2 linked regions of the Arabidopsis thaliana genome follow. The protein of the gene in region 2 purifies or fractionates together with the protein of the main gene of each other region. This does not show direct contact. Each region holds a gene or a part of one and is shown on either strand. Other genes may lie near its edges. The genes, in order: psbE and BOU.

Region 1 (3,026 bases), on a different chromosome or scaffold from region 2:
ATAATATACTAATTTAGTTAAGTTCATTTTTCAAAAACACGATAAAAAATTGTTCTGATTATTAGCAGTTCAACGGGACCCCCTCGAATCAGACAAAGAAGGAAGAGTTGGGCCCCGTTGAGTTCTTATGTTTTCACGTCTATAACTCAGCTCATCCAATTTCTACAGGGATGAACCTAATCCTGAATATGAACCATAAAAGAAAATACCTATTAAACCGATCACAAGAATACCAGCTACAGTACCTATTACCCAAAGAGGAATCCTTCCAGTAGTATCAGCCATTTATCCCGCTTCCCTCCACATTTAATCGAGTGGTCATGCTAGAAACATAAACAGTCAGAGATAATTATTATATATAATCCATCCGAATGGGATAATAAAATTACTACTCTTTATTTTTTATTTTATTATTCTACGCTCTTTTCTTAATTGAAGAAATAATTCGAAAATAAAACAGCAAGTACAAAAATGAGTAATAACCCCCAATAGAGACTGGTACGATTTAATTCAACACTTTGTTCGTTCGGATTTGATTGTGTCATAGCTCTATAATTGAATTAGGTTTATCGTTGGATGAACTGCATTGCTGATATTGACCCCAAAAAAGAAACGGTAGGTACAGCTAGTCCATGAACAGCCAACCAGCGCACTGTAAAAATTGGATAGGTCCTATCTATAGTCATTGGGTCCTCCTAAAAAGATCTACTAAATTCATCGAGTTGTTCCAAAGGATCAAAACGGCCTGTTATTAATGGAATGCCTTGTCGGCTCTCTGTAAAATACTCGTTTGGACGAGGGCTCCCGAACACATCGTAAGCTAAACCGGTGCTGACGAATAACCAGCCCGCAATGAATAGGGAAGGTATAGTAATGCTATGAATGACCCAGTATCGAATACTGGTAATAATATCAGCAAAAGAACGTTCTCCTGTGCTTCCAGACATACTGAACTCCAGATATTCTCGTAGGGAATCGATTCTGTAAAAGATGAATAAGTAAATTAAAATTCACTGAGATTGCATCTTTGTGAGATCGTCAATAAAGTACCAAGGGTATTTTTAGAGTCTACCGAATCAGTATAGCTATCCTTCTTCTGACACAGCAACGCAATTTGAATTAGTATAGAAATGGGGTGTTACATAATTTCTTTTTTTCTTGCTTGTCGATGTATAACCGTGTCCCACTTTTTCAAATTACTGTAATCTATAGGGGCTTTGATCCTTTATTCGTTTTGGACTAGAAAATAAACTAAAGATTAGATAAAATGAAAATCCAAGAAGTTGGTTTCTAATTCTAATAATTCATGAAGCAAATTTTCATATGGTCCCAAGTTAATTGAATGAAAAATTTATAAATTTCATTTTCATTGCATATGCATAATTGTAGAATAGATTTTTTTATGATAATGTGATCCCCCCTTTTACTTTTTGTTTCATTTTAAGGAATTAATTTGCAGAAACAAGAAAAAGAACAATAGTTTTGGATTGGATTGGATCAATTAAAAAGAACAACAAATAAAAATAATAAAAAAAGACTAAATATTTGTAATGCGTGCATTGTTTTGTTGTATTCAATTCACAATTCAAAGGTTTTTTTCTTTCTTTAACTAACTACAAGGGTGATGGGTTTTTCACTCTATTTTCTATATAATCTCGAAAGAAAAAAACCTAAAACCTCGAAAGGAAACGATAATAGAAATTGCTAATTACAAGTTTTAAAAATCTAGTTATCGTTTAAAATCTAGTTAAAATAAATAAATCTTTTTTTTTACTAATCTCGTTCTCCGTGTAGGATACCTCTTTTCTTTTTAGTCTCATTCGATAGATTAAATGAAGAAAACTGCTCTACTATTTAATTTAATCTAATGAGTTTAAATTTTAGTAAATTCAATTTTAATAAAGTAGAAAGAGGCGTATTCTAGGTTCTAAGGTCAATAAAAAAAAAGAATCAAACAACTTATTTTCAAATTTTTACATATTCATTCAAAAAAAGTTATATGTTTTGACTGAAGTTAGATAATAGAGTTATTTTTTTTATGTATTATTTTTTTTTATGATTAATTTCTTAAAGAGTTTTTCAATTAATAAGTTACGTTAATTCTGACTCCTGAGATAGTGCAGATGCCAAAGACGATGAATTGAGTTCTTTTTATCTTTCTCTATTTTTTTTCATACCACCTATAATGATTGATAATTCACAAATTTTCAATTGAATTTTTTTAATTCTTGGAACTAGTTATCTTTCTCTATTTCTTAAAAAAAATTTCAATTGAAACTTAGGGAAGTACTTTAAGAAACATATGTATAAAAAAACATATTTTATTGAGTCCCTTCATGCCTACTATAACTAGTTATTTCGGTTTTCTACTAGCAGCTTTAACTATAACCTCAGTTCTGTTTATTGGTCTAAGCAAAATACGACTTATTTGAAATTAATTGAATGCAGATTTTTTTATAAAAAAGGATTTCGTTGGTATTTATTAATATGTTCGATAGTTCCTTACCGTGTTAATTACCAAATTTTGGTCATTGAGATTCATTGGCAATACAGATTAAGAGCTAGGAATAGATAGTACCTCTCTTTTCTCCCTTTCAAAAATGAAAACAAAAGAAAATTCAAATGATTGAAGTTTTTTTATTTGGAATCGTCTTAGGTCTAATTCCTATTACTTTGGCTGGATTATTCGTAACTGCTTATTTACAATACAGACGTGGTGATCAGTTGGACTTTTAATTAATTAACATCTCGTTTTTTTACTAACCTCCTTCTTGCTTTCCTATGCGGGAGGTCTAATTCAGACTGCTGCTCAGTAATTTGTGAACAGTGGAATTTTGATACAATCTATGAAATCACGCTCTGTAGGATTTGAACCTACGACATTGGGTTTTGGAGACCCACGTTCTACCGAACTGAACTAAGAGCGTTTTTCTTTTTTTTTTTTTCTAAAAAACGAAAAGGCTAGAAAGAGGGCATTCTTTAACCCGACTCGATTTTGTACGTATATACTATATCATACATAGTAT
Region 2 (4,882 bases):
CACGCGTGGTAGGCGCGCTTTCGTCTTTCCATTTCGGAAGGTTTTGTTGTCTCTCTAGATTCTTTATCTACATAAAACAAAAACAAAAAACTCGAATAAATTCATAAAAGTACTAATGTATGTTTTCTTAACTTAGGAACCAAAGACAAAAAAAACAATTTACAACGAAATCCAAGTGTTCAAGCCTAGAGAGCATAGGCAAAGAAGAGAGTGAATGTTTTTGTTGCTCAATCGTCTCCATAAGACTTGTTATTTTTTTGGGATTTCTCTAACATGTGATATTATTTTTTTGGTTTATATAGTGGAAAAAGTTATATAGATAAGTAAAAAAATGTAAGACGATAAAGGAAAAAGCAGTTGAGTTCCCTCCTTTTTTTCCTGTTGACACTCTCTACTTGTACAGAGTCATACGCTAATCTGTTATTTAATTTAAATTAACAAAATAGTCTAAATATAAATATTAACTCCAATTTATAAACCAAAAATAGAAAAATTAAACCCCTATATTATAAACACCTAAAAGGCTAAAAACTTTAAATTCGTAACCCCACAATATAAACCTAATTTTTATAGATTAAACCCTTAAACAAACCCCTTAGCGAACTCTTAAATCACTAAGTTCGGTTTAGTTTGATTTAGTTACCATCCGATTCTGTTTTTGTTCGGTTCAATTCGGTTAAAATGTTAATGTCAACCACTAGTTCTTCTGTGTAAGAAATACTGAAATAAACTGTGTAAATGGTACATAAATTTTGCAGAAATTTTTTAAGAATCAAATCTAAAAACAGAGAGGTTAATCGCAATGGAACATTCAGAAATCGAACCAACAGTTAAACCCAAACCGAACCGGTTTATCCCAAGCTTGACCTTGTCATCTCATAAGCCAAGAAGCAAGCAGCATTAGCAGGAACACTCCTAGCCATAGCTGGACCAAATCCTTTATACAAACCTTTAACTCCTTCAGATTTCAGAATCTTCCGAAAAGCATCCATCGACCCCGTGTATCTCGGGTTTTTGTAATCGTCGACTTGAAGAACACTCTTCACAACATCTGTCGGATATACTATTCCCCAAAAAGAAGCACCAGCGACTCCACCCGCCATGATCAATGACCCTTGTCCTAAGCTTGAAGTGTCTGAACCACCGGCTAAAAACCGCTTGAAAGCTTCGTAGGCTGCAAACATTGTTGCATTTCCCGGGACTTCACGGGCGAATGTAGGGAATAAACCTTTGAATAGACCTCGTGCTCCTCCTTCTGATCGTAGGACATGACGGGCTACATCCATTGGTCCACCGTATTTCACGGCTGCAACCACTGAGCTTGTAGTAGAGGCACCAGCTAATGCACCTTGTGCTTGCAACCTGATGGAGAAACAAGATTAAACACACACACAAAGAGACATGTTTTAGTTCTGTTTCAGTCTAGAGCTTGAGTTAAAAGCACATGTATATATAGGCTCTGATTGGTAATACATGTAAAAAGAACCTAACCTGCACTTGATCAACTCGGTAGGACAAGCAAGGAACGAAACAGCGAAACCAGCGCCTGCACCGGCCACAAACTGTTGACTAATGGTCAAAGGAACTCCAGCTTCAGACCTAAGCAGCCCTTCCATTTGACCTCTCACAGTGAACAAAACCGCATTGAAGGCAGCAACGGTTGCAAGTGGAGCTCCCATACCTTTATACAAACCTTTGGTTCCTTCAGAAGCAACGGTCTGTTTAACCGCATCGATTGCACCGGTGTACCTTGGAAGTTGGCCTGGTGCTGGAGTCGGTTGGCTCTGAAGTTTGACCTTGATAGTGTCAAATGGATGACCAACAACTAGTTGAGCAGCTCCTCCAACAGTCCCTGAAGCTAAATCCTTCCACGCATCCGCCATTTCTAAGAAACAATAAATCAATCAAATTTCTCAGAATCAACCAAAAAAATCAAAAGTTTTTGTTAATTAAGAATAAGTTTTACACCACTTGAAACAATTTTCTCAGAACAAACCAAAATCAAAACCTTTGTTAATGAATACTTGTCATTTAACTTGTGACCTAAACCACTTTAACTAACCAAATGTTTCATAAACCAACCAAACTCACTACTTTTTGTTAATGAATAATCCTTCAAGAGTCAAGATTAACTTATAACCTAACCACTTAAACCAACTATATCATCATCCAAAATCAGTACTTTTGTCACTTGTGACCTGAACCACTTAGCCAATCAAAACGTATAAACAAACCAAGTTTGAATATAACAAAGACGTTTCAAAGAGTTTTTCTCATAAAAAGTGGATATTTTTATTTTGCTTCCAAGAAAGTAGGAATCTTATGATCATTTCCAATCATTACCAAATCAAAGGATTCAGAAGACAATGAGAGAAATCTTAACAAAACCTGAAAATGTAACCAAACTCAAACTCTAAAAACATGTCATTTTTCCTCAGTTGTCTCTGAGAAAGTTTGAATCTTTTAATCCCTAGAACTCAAATGGTGGATTCATAAGACAATGAGGTGAAATCAGATCAAAAACCCAGAAGGAAAATTCAATCAAAAGTGATTAAATATTAGCTTACCAACGATTGATTAGAGAGAATCCAATCGATATCAGATGGATCCGAGAAAGGTTAGCCGCTCGAATAAAAATGAAAAAAAAACAAATCCAGATGCGAATCCACGGGATAGAGATTCAGAGACACAAAACGAGTGATCAGATAAAATCCAAAAAGAAACAAAAAAGGATTCAAGTGGACATAAAAGTTTTTAACTTTTAACCACTCGAATGGCTATCTACGACACAACCACAAAGGATGGAGCTTTGCAGAGACTGAAGTTTTGTTTGTTTGTTTTGTCTCTTTAAATTTTCTTTAAGAGAAAACGTTTTTGTTTTAAGTGTGGTTGGTGAAAAATGAAGATCAGTTTGGCTGGTCAGACGTTCGATCAGCTTAATCGGTCGGTTAACGTATAACGTATGTGTGGTTCAGGATTCCAATTTGGTTTAAGGATTGAGCTGGTTTGGAGCTGATTGGGTTTCTATGTTTGAAGATGGGCCGTGGAGTTCTTGTTCAGCCCAAGCTCATCCGGAATTGTTGAAGCTGTTATAAGCCTAACAAAACAATATAAGGTATTTTAGGTATGAAAATAACTCAATTAACTTTATATTTTATGAATTAGTTTACTAATTAAAAATATTACTAATTTAATATATTGGGTCAATAAGTTCTTTTCTCAAAAGAATATTATGAATGGGGTCAAAGGTAGGAAATGATCATATGGCATCAACATGAAAATTTTTATACAAAAACATTTAAGAATTAATATTATTAAGTAAATTACCTTATAATTAAGAATTTTCAGATGACCACCTTCCCTATATATACATTGGCTCCGCCTCAACGGCTGAACATAGAAAATATGCAAACTAAGCAAATGGCTTCTCCTTGGTTGTTGATCATCATATTCTCTCTTTCATTACTTTGCTTCCATGGAAGGTCTCAAAATACTAAGGTCTGTCACCATTTTGTAAGCACTTTGATATAAACTTAAATATATAATACAAATAAAGTTAAAAAAAATTCTCATATCTTGTAGCCTCAAGAACCTGAATACGAATGCGTTGATATCTACAAACAACCTTCGCTACAACACCCTAAACTCCAAAATCACCGAATCCAAGTATATTTCTATATATTTACATTTGTTTGTCGATTTCCTGCACCTAATGTTTATCATGATCATATACTTATCCCTATTTGATTGATATATTTTTTGATGCATCACATAGATGAGACCGAGCGATGAAGCCTTAGCCATGCTCTCAGGAGATACATCATCAGAAAACTTATCAAACGATGAAATGGTTGCTGAGTTTGATATACCAGAAGAAGGATGTCCTCAAGGACAAGTACCAATCCATAAACCAAGAAATAATTTCAACCACACCGAGAAACATTTTCAGCCTATTAATGGATTTGGAACTGTTGGTCAACATGTGAAGTGACTAAAATTTTATACCTTTACTATATATGATCCAAACCATTTGATGTGTATTTTTTTTTTGAAAAAACTGATGTGTATATATATACAGGCTGCGGTAATGAAGAAAATCGATGCCACCCCGTGGCGTGGAGCATCAGCATGGATAAGTATTTACCAACCTAAATTGACAAATAAAGAGCAATTCAGCATGGCTTTCATTTGGCTCAATACTGAGTATGAAGGCGAACGCACCAGTGCCCACTTTGGTTGGGCTGTAAGAATTTAATTTTTTGTTTTGTTTTTTTAAATCGTGATATACTAGATCAAAATTAAACCCACTTAATGCAACCATCATTTAGCATATGTATAATTAGTTCATTTGAATAAATATCATGGTTAAAAGTTTTACTGATAACTTTTTTTTTTTACTACGTATGAAATATATTAAGGTGATTCCTGCACTATATGGCGATAGCCGTACACGACTTACTGCATACTGGAGTGTGAGTAACAATGTCACCAATTATCGTCTGTCCCTATCACAAGAAAGTAGATTTTTTTTTTCTCTTCTTTAACCCCAAATCGTTTTTTGCAGCAAGATACATTCGAAAGCGGATGTTACAATATAAAATGTAAGGGTTTCGTTCAAATTGATAGGAGACTCTTTCTTGGAGCCGGTTTTGCGAACACCTCTGTGGTGGGAGGCCAAAATTTTAAAGCTTTTTTTGCAATCAATCAGGTATATAAGTATATATAACAACTACGTTTTTGAGTTAAACTAAATTCTTGGTTTGATATTGATTTATTCAAAACAAAAATTTGAATAAAAATAAAATTTCTCAAATATTATTAAAACAGTTCTTTAGTTTCAATTGGTTAGTAATATTCTTTAACCGATAAACTCGAAGAAAAT

Evidence for each region.
Region 1: the proteins of BOU (region 2) and psbE fractionate together in Arabidopsis thaliana (co-fractionation; one large-scale study listed by BioGRID). This does not show direct contact.

Annotation. Positions count from the first base shown.
Region 1 is NC_000932.1:63,376-66,401, forward strand, and holds psbE (photosystem II protein V), read right to left. Parts: upstream 948-3,026; coding exon 696-947; downstream 1-695. Other genes in the region: psbJ (photosystem II protein J), read right to left, coding at 163-285; psbL (photosystem II protein L), read right to left, coding at 429-545; psbF (photosystem II protein VI), read right to left, coding at 567-686; petL (cytochrome b6/f complex subunit VI), read left to right, coding at 2,337-2,432; petG (cytochrome b6/f complex subunit V), read left to right, coding at 2,623-2,736. UniProt on the Arabidopsis thaliana protein: This b-type cytochrome is tightly associated with the reaction center of photosystem II (PSII).
Region 2 is NC_003076.8:18,987,928-18,992,809, forward strand, and holds BOU (Mitochondrial substrate carrier family protein), read right to left. Parts: upstream 2,941-4,882; 5' UTR 2,568-2,940; exon of another isoform or gene 2,344-2,567; intron 1,886-2,343; 5' UTR 1,884-1,885; coding exon 1,492-1,883; intron 1,363-1,491; coding exon 852-1,362; 3' UTR 661-851; downstream 1-660. Other genes in the region: MSP2 (microspore-specific promoter 2), read right to left, coding at 1-67, 164-241; AT5G46810 (carboxyl-terminal proteinase-like protein, putative (DUF239)), read left to right, coding at 3,237-3,248, 3,583-3,666, 3,776-3,982, 4,079-4,243, 4,419-4,472, 4,565-4,708. UniProt on the Arabidopsis thaliana protein: Involved in photorespiratory metabolism. Acts probably as a carrier for a glycine decarboxylase (GDC) cofactor or, alternatively, may act as a mitochondrial glycine shuttle. Involved in the transition from the embryonic stage to the juvenile autotrophic stage.